Cricetulus griseus: one gene and its partner. The protein of the gene in region 1 interacts with the protein of each later gene in a pairwise test. Links are inferred from orthologs where the notes say so. Each region holds a gene or a part of one and is shown in the gene's direction. Other genes may lie near its edges.

Region 1 (3,378 bases):
AGCAGCTAAAGCAAGTCCCACCACAAGGGCAGGTGGCATTGTATTAAATAAAATCTAGGTTCCAGCCTGCTCATGTCTGTCCCACAGCAGACAAATAATTGAGTTATCTAACCACACAGATGAGGTGTGATGGATTTTCTTTAACATTCCCCTTCTTATTTTCCTACTGAAAGTAAATTGGACTTTTAAACTCAGGCTGCCCTCGCTAATCCCAACCAGGAACTTAGTCCTGATTCTGTCCAGGGTGAACCAGCCTTTACAAAAGTGAAGTCTCTGAATGCCTTTAAGGACCCTTTCTTTAGACCCCTGTGAAGACTTCAGACCCTATGTACCCATTAATTCAGTTGGGCTTCCTGTCCAAACACAATCCTTTACAGCACCTAAACACGGGGTTCTAGCAATCTTCTACCCTCCAAAATCGGGATGCTGGCCCCAGACTCACCTCTTGCCCACGCTAACCTCTTAGCCTTCGCTCTCTCCTCCCACAACATTCTGGGTCAGGAGCCCTGGCACCTCCTGGCCCTCCTTCCACCTTTGTCTGCTCCCTACTCTCCTGGAACTTGCCCTTCCTCCTGCCCAGGCAAAGTGTGAAGGGCCAGGAGGCCTGAATCCGAGGGCCGAGGTGTGGTCCTTGAACAGATCCAACAACCCTGAGATTGGGACTCGGCCACGCGCGGGAAGGGAATGCACGCTGTCCAAAAGCAAGTGCAGCCCAGGAATGAGGAGGCCAAGCCCAAGCAGCTGGGTTTTTCCAGGGCCGGTCTGGCCGGGTAGCGAGAGGTTCAGGAGGGTCTGGGGAAGAGGGTGCAAATTGGAAGAGATCCAGTGACAAAGAACCGCAAGGAGCGCGGCCGGGAAGCGGGAGGCGGGGCGCGTGCGCGGTGGGCGGGAAACCCGGGGGCGGCGGCGAGGCGGGCGCGCGCCCCGCGGGGAGGGGTGCGGAGGAGGGAGGAGGCGTCTGGACCGTGCAGCCCCGCGCGCCGAGCCAGCTCCAGACAGAGCATCGCTGCAGCCGCCGCAGCAACAGGCGGCGGGCCGGGCTCGCGGGGCGGAGGCGGCGGTGGGGCGGGGAGCTCGAGGAGGAGCGACTCGGGGCCGGCCACCTCCTGCAAGGAAGAAGAGCACCGCCGCCTCCCGCGCTCGGCCACCGCAGCCCTCCACCCGCCACCGCGCCCACCCTGCGCAGGACCCCGCGAGCGGCGGGCGCGCGCACCCTGCAGAGCCCCGGCCGCGCCGAGCTGCCGCCAGACATGACCGTGGTGCCCGGGGACCACCTGCTGGAGCCAGAGGCGGCGGGTGGCGGCGGTGGGGACCCGCCTCAGGGAGGCTGTGGTGGTGGTGGTGGTGGCGGTGGCTGCGACCGCTACGAGCCGCTGCCGCCCGCGTTGCCCGCCGCGGGCGAGCAGGACTGCTGCGGGGAGCGCGTGGTCATCAACATCTCGGGGCTGCGCTTTGAGACGCAGCTCAAGACCCTCTGCCAGTTCCCAGAGACGCTGCTGGGCGACCCCAAGCGGCGCATGCGGTACTTCGACCCGCTCCGCAATGAGTACTTCTTCGACCGCAACCGACCCAGCTTCGACGCCATCCTCTACTACTACCAGTCCGGGGGCCGCATCCGCCGGCCGGTCAATGTGCCCATCGACATCTTCTCCGAGGAGATCCGCTTCTACCAGCTGGGCGAGGAAGCCATGGAGAAGTTCCGTGAGGACGAGGGCTTCCTGCGGGAGGAGGAGCGGCCCCTGCCCCGCAGAGACTTCCAGCGCCAGGTGTGGCTGCTCTTCGAATACCCCGAGAGCTCGGGGCCGGCCCGGGGCATTGCCATCGTGTCGGTGCTGGTCATCCTCATCTCCATTGTCATCTTCTGCCTGGAGACCCTGCCCGAGTTCCGCGACGAGAAAGACTACCCCGCCTCCCCGTCGCAGGAAGTGTTCGAGGCCACCAGCAACAGCACGTCGGGGGCCGCCTCTGGAGCCTCCAGCTTTTCGGACCCCTTCTTCGTGGTGGAAACCCTGTGCATCATCTGGTTCTCCTTTGAGCTGCTAGTGCGGTTCTTCGCTTGCCCCAGTAAAGCCACCTTCTCCAGAAATATCATGAACCTCATAGACATTGTGGCCATCATTCCTTATTTCATCACTCTGGGCACTGAGCTGGCTGAGCGACAGGGTAATGGGCAGCAGGCAATGTCTTTGGCCATCCTGAGGGTCATCCGCTTAGTAAGGGTCTTCCGCATCTTCAAGCTCTCCCGCCACTCCAAGGGGCTGCAGATCCTGGGGCAGACACTGAAGGCTTCCATGCGAGAGCTGGGGCTGCTCATCTTCTTCCTCTTTATAGGAGTCATCCTTTTCTCCAGTGCAGTCTACTTTGCTGAGGCAGACGACCCTTCTTCGGGTTTTAACAGTATCCCGGATGCCTTCTGGTGGGCAGTGGTAACCATGACAACTGTGGGTTACGGTGATATGCACCCAGTGACCATAGGAGGCAAGATTGTGGGCTCTCTTTGCGCCATCGCAGGTGTCTTGACCATTGCACTGCCAGTTCCTGTAATTGTTTCCAACTTCAATTACTTCTACCACCGGGAGACAGAAGGGGAAGAGCAAGCCCAGTACATGCACGTGGGAAGTTGCCAGCACCTCTCCTCTTCAGCTGAGGAGCTCCGAAAAGCCCGGAGTAACTCCACCCTGAGTAAGTCGGAGTATATGGTGATCGAAGAGGGGGGTATGAACCACAGCGCTTTCCCCCAGACCCCTTTCAAAACGGGCAACTCCACTGCCACTTGCACCACGAACAATAATCCCAACTCCTGTGTCAACATTAAAAAGATATTCACTGATGTCTAATATACGATTCAGTTGACAAACTATGCCCAGTATTATGTGGAACGTGCCCCCTTGGTCTGTGTGTGCCCTTGATTTATACATTTCCAGACCATTCATCAAGGAACGGACGTGAAGAGGTGGAAAAGCACACTTCATCCTCCCTCTCCCTATTGCTTCATACTGTGTTTAAACAGGTGCCTGTTCTGCAAGTGGGCTGCATTCTCTCAGCTCTCTCTCTCTCTCTCTCTCTCTCTCTCTCTCTCTCTCTCTCTCTCTCATTCTCTCTCTTTCTCTGTGTGTGTCTCTCTCTGTCTCTCTTCTCTCTCTCTCTCTCTCTCTCTCTCTCTCTTCTCTCTCTCTCTCTCTCTCTCTCTCTCTCTCTCTCTCTCTCTGTCTCTCTCTCTCTCTCTCTCTCTCTCTCTCTCTCTCTCTCTCTCTCTCTCTCTCTCTCTCTCTCTCTCTCTCTCTCCTCTCTCTCTTTCCCCCGTCTTTTAATTTTGTAACCAACAAGCTTACATTAAAGCTTGGTTTCTAGTGCACGCCCTATGAAAAACTACATCCT
Region 2 (4,339 bases), about 160 Mb from region 1:
ATACTTGGAATCAAAGAGCATCCTTTTTCTGGTGGTCTATCATGCGCGTTGGCACACAGGTTGATGAAAGACTTTAGAAAAGGTAATTTAGCAGACATAAAACCAAGGAAATTTGCCTTTTGGAAGATCTTTAATCTCATGGTGAATAATAGCTAGCATAAGTGATGTTTATCACACTTGCTGTCCCTAGTTAAAATTGATCCTTTTATTTTTACAACGTATGACTAATCACCCTTATTTGATCAGTATAATACATGCAAGCATTGAAATATCACATCATTAGCATATGGTCATCACATGCTAGTCAAAATAGTTAATTCAAAAACTGGATTGCCTTTTGTCCCCATCAGCAAGGGCCCAATCTGCTGATGTCATTGCTCTTTCCATGTCTTCTTTCCAGCCAGATGATCAGGTGTTTTGGGGTGTCATTCTCTATCCTCAGACACGTGTTTCCTCTTCATCTTCCCCCGATCCCATGTTCCTGCCTCCTGGTAGCCATTTTTTAAATTTATCTTCTGCCCTTTCCAGTGTGCTATGCAAGGGTTTGTGTATGGATGCTTAGGTAAAAAACATCCTTCTCAGTTTATGGCGTGTGAATTTCATACCTGCTGCCTTGTGTTAGTTACTCAATTCTTTAGCAAGAAGCAACTATCGTCTGTTTGATTTTTCTTTACAATAAAATACAGGAGGTTGGCAGATTTTGAAACTGATCTATTAGTTGTTAACTTAAAAAAAAGTCTAGTCATTTTGTCAAAACCCATCTCCTCTCACAGTTAAGCATATCTTTCTGGGCAGGCGTCCTTTAGAACTGAGGATGTAGTTTAGTAGTAGAGTGTTTACCTCCAGGCAGAATGCCCAATGCCCGGATTTGATCTCAAGCCAGCAAGAAAAACCCACTCTGGTAACGAACCTGAACCTCTAACTAAAATTTTCTACAGTTGAAAATGTTCAAAGTACTTATGATTACGGCACAACCTGTTGATAGAAATTTCATTTTCTTTTTTGTAGAGATTGATAATGACTTTACCGGCACCCACACAGATTCCTTCCTTGTGTTTATATGTAAAGTGCTCCTTCGGGTTCCCAGTCAGAGACAGCCCAGTCCTGGGAGATAATGGAATGTGGGCGAAGTTGGGAAGCAGCTTAGGACAGGGCAGAATTCCTCCTGCCGCGCCGGATGCCCATACTGGGCATCTTTGCAGACTCTTATGCTCCCTCCACCCCTGCTGAGATGATGCACTGGGAAAACATTCGCTCTCCCAGGGATGCCTCTCTGTTGGTTTATAGCTGGGAAAACGTTGCCCCGGGTCTAAAATATCTGCCCAAACAGCCTAGCGCTGATGAAGGCTTTCTCACAGGCTCTCAGCTCCCCGCGGGCGCTCCCCGCCCTCTGTTGCCAGAACCTTGGGGATGTGCCTAGACCCGGCGCAGAGCACGTCCCAGCCAACTGAGAGAAGAACAAACCACTGGCGGACAGCCAAGAGGCTCCCTCCCAGCCACCGCCCCCCCGCCCCCGCGCCAGCGCCTTTTCCCCCCTATACAATACAAGATCTTCCTTCCTCAGTTCTCTTAAATCACAGCCCAGGGAAACCTCCTCAGAGCCTGCAGCCAGCCACGCGCCAGCATGTCTGGGGGCAAATACGTAGACTCCGAGGTAGGCTTGGGTGAGGGCGCGCCGGCTCTAAAGTGCCTGCTTTTGCTATCTCCCACTCCAAATGCTCGGGCTGCTTTCCTGGCCCCAGCCCTCTCTCCACCTTCACAGCACTCCCCTCGTGCTGGCACCGCTGAGGAATGGACCTGGGTGGGGAGCTGAAGAAAAGCCAGGGGTGTTTTAAGGCTTCCTTTTGGAGAGGCGACCAATGGAGCCCACCGGGCAAAGGAGGGTCGGGGTGCCGCGTTGGTAGTCGGCCGGACTTAGAAAAGTTTTTCAGATGGCACCGTTAAGACCCCCCCCACCCCGGACAAGCCCCTACTTACTGGGAGGCTGAGAGCTGGTGCAGTGTGTGTGTGTGTGTGTGTGTGTGTGTGTGTGTGTGTGTGTGTGTTGGGGTGGCGTCATTTGGCCACAGTTCTAAGGACAGTCCCCATCAGGAGCCTAAAGTGGCTGGCCTGGGCGGTGGCGCGCGCGTGTTGCACTTTGAGCAAAGTTCTAGAGCACTTCTATAATTTCTGCCCCTGGGCGGCGGCCGGGATGGGGGGTTCCGAGGTGGGGGACCCTCCTTCCTCAACAAGTACCACCACCATTGGCAACTACTTCTTGGCACTCAGATAGCATAAAGGTGGAGACCTCGGTTCCCAAAGGTGACTACCGTTCAGCCTCGGGCAGACAGCCTGGGGGTGATCTAAGTAAGGGTGGGTCAGGGAGTCCTTCAGGTGAGATGTCTTCCAGAACATTTTGAGGGGTCGGGCATATGCCTCGGCTCAGAGATGAAAGTATGATAGCTATCCACGCACCTCATCCACCCCCACGGCCTAGGGAAAGCCGTGAAGCAAAAGGAGCTAAAGGGTAGGGGACGCGGCAGGTGCGGAGGAAGACGCAGGGAGAGACAGAGAAGATGGGACCAGCCCCTGTCTGTATGGTCCAGTGGGATCTTAAAGATAACGGTGGAAGGGATCGGGAACAGGATTAACAGGGTCAGGACGGGTCAGTGGAGCAGGTGAGGCTCTGGGGACGCGGGTGGCCTGGAGGAGAGAAGGGGTACAGAGCAGGAGGAACGCGAACCCCCTGGGCTGGGGAGTCGCTGCCAGGAGCTGCAGGGAGCAGGAGGGCGAGCATGGGGCTTCGCCCTGACCCCTGGCGGCCGGCGAGGGAGGCAGGCGCTCCCTGCCTGGTACCGAGGGGTGTGGTGTCCTTCCCTCCGTCCTCTTAAAAAGCTTGCGGCACTGGAGTTTTCTGTGCGCAAAGCCTTCAGGGTTGAAGTTAGCCGAGACTTGGAGCTCCAGGCTCCCCCGACAACAGGCTGACTTCTGACGCTTGTTTTTCTTTCTGAACTTTTTTCCCACTGCCTTTGCCATCCTCCCCTGGCTTGGCCGGCTGCCTTCACAGGGACATCTCTACACCGTTCCCATCCGGGAACAGGGCAACATCTACAAGCCCAACAACAAGGCCATGGCAGACGAGGTGAATGAGAAGCAAGTGTACGACGCGCACACCAAGGAGATTGACCTGGTCAACCGGGACCCCAAGCATCTCAACGATGACGTGGTCAAGGTAAGCCATGGTGGCTGTCTGGGTCCCACAACCCTTCTCTCTCAAGTAATTGGGCGTCCTTTCATAGCTTTGTCACACTGGCACTGTTTCCTAGGCTTGGCTGTATGTGAACCCCTGGTCCCTTGTCAGAAAGGTCTCATCTGCCTTGCCTCCTCCTACTAGCTAGTTGAACAGAAATTTAGCTAAAGTGAGCCTTGTGGGAGTTCACAGAACCTCAGCCACAGGTGGGCCCCCACATTACTTGGGAAAAGAAGATGACTGTGGTCCATTGCCAGGTTAATAGTCCAGTGACAGGTAAATAATAGTGTGCACCACGGTGAAGGTCAGAATACAGTATAAGCATATTCCTTCAGCTAAAGCAATCTAAAGTGATTAGATTAAAAATAATAAATGAGTGGAAATGCTTAAAACTATCTTATATGTATATATTTTGTATGCAATTGCATATATATAATATACATATATATGAATAGGGTTTTAACTATAAAAACACAGCACATGTACAAGGCTAAGCCAATTTACCAAACTGAAAATAATTTCCACCTCTTAACTTCTGGATCCCTCTAGTTAGATGTGGAAAGATGCATCTGTGGTGACAGCCAAGGTCAGCCTGCCCTGGGCTAGCAGAACATTCAGGTTGGCGTTCCATTTTACACTTTGAGGATATACTTGCTGGGGTTTAAAATACATTACTTTCCTGGGTTGTTGGCCGAATGTAGACTTGACACAGTGGTCTGATTTTCATTATCATTTTGTTATTCAACTTTGACCCTTTTAGCAATTCTAGCTCAAGGAATTTATTGTCTGAGTCCGTGTGGGTTGAGAAATACTGGACTTGAGCTGTCCTTGGCAGAGGATTTCCTCTGAGTGGCCTGGAGGGCCAAGGAAAATCCTGGCCTCGGGGTTCCAGTGGGAAGGAAGCCCCTGTCCTGCCCAGCCGCTAATGCAGGCACCACTGAGGAGCTCATGGAGTTTCCACCCACAGACTCCTATCTATGGATGGGAGGAGCTCCAGTGCAGTTTCACCTTTATGAATAATATATTTTAGAAAGGGAAATGGTTTAATCTACAACTGGAGGGAAAGTGTACCTGTGAAAATTCACTCTCTTGTTTTGCTGGTAGAGAGAA

The links. The genes of interacting proteins can lie anywhere in the genome.
Region 2: the proteins of Kcna3 (region 1) and Cav1 come close enough for resonance energy transfer, tested with the Homo sapiens proteins (2 studies listed by BioGRID). The link is inferred for Cricetulus griseus from reciprocal best matches to the Homo sapiens genes KCNA3 and CAV1.

Annotation. Positions count from the first base shown.
Region 1 is NW_023276806.1:50,098,045-50,101,422, reverse strand, and holds Kcna3 (potassium voltage-gated channel subfamily A member 3), read left to right. Parts: upstream 1-1,150; 5' UTR 1,151-1,250; coding exon 1,251-2,837; downstream 2,838-3,378.
Region 2 is NW_023276806.1:209,233,752-209,238,090, reverse strand, and holds the start of Cav1 (caveolin-1), read left to right. Parts: upstream 1-1,515; 5' UTR 1,516-1,624; coding exon 1,625-1,654; intron 1,655-2,170; exon of another isoform or gene 2,171-2,301; intron 2,302-3,046; coding exon 3,047-3,211; intron 3,212-4,339. UniProt on the Homo sapiens protein: May act as a scaffolding protein within caveolar membranes. Forms a stable heterooligomeric complex with CAV2 that targets to lipid rafts and drives caveolae formation. Mediates the recruitment of CAVIN proteins (CAVIN1/2/3/4) to the caveolae.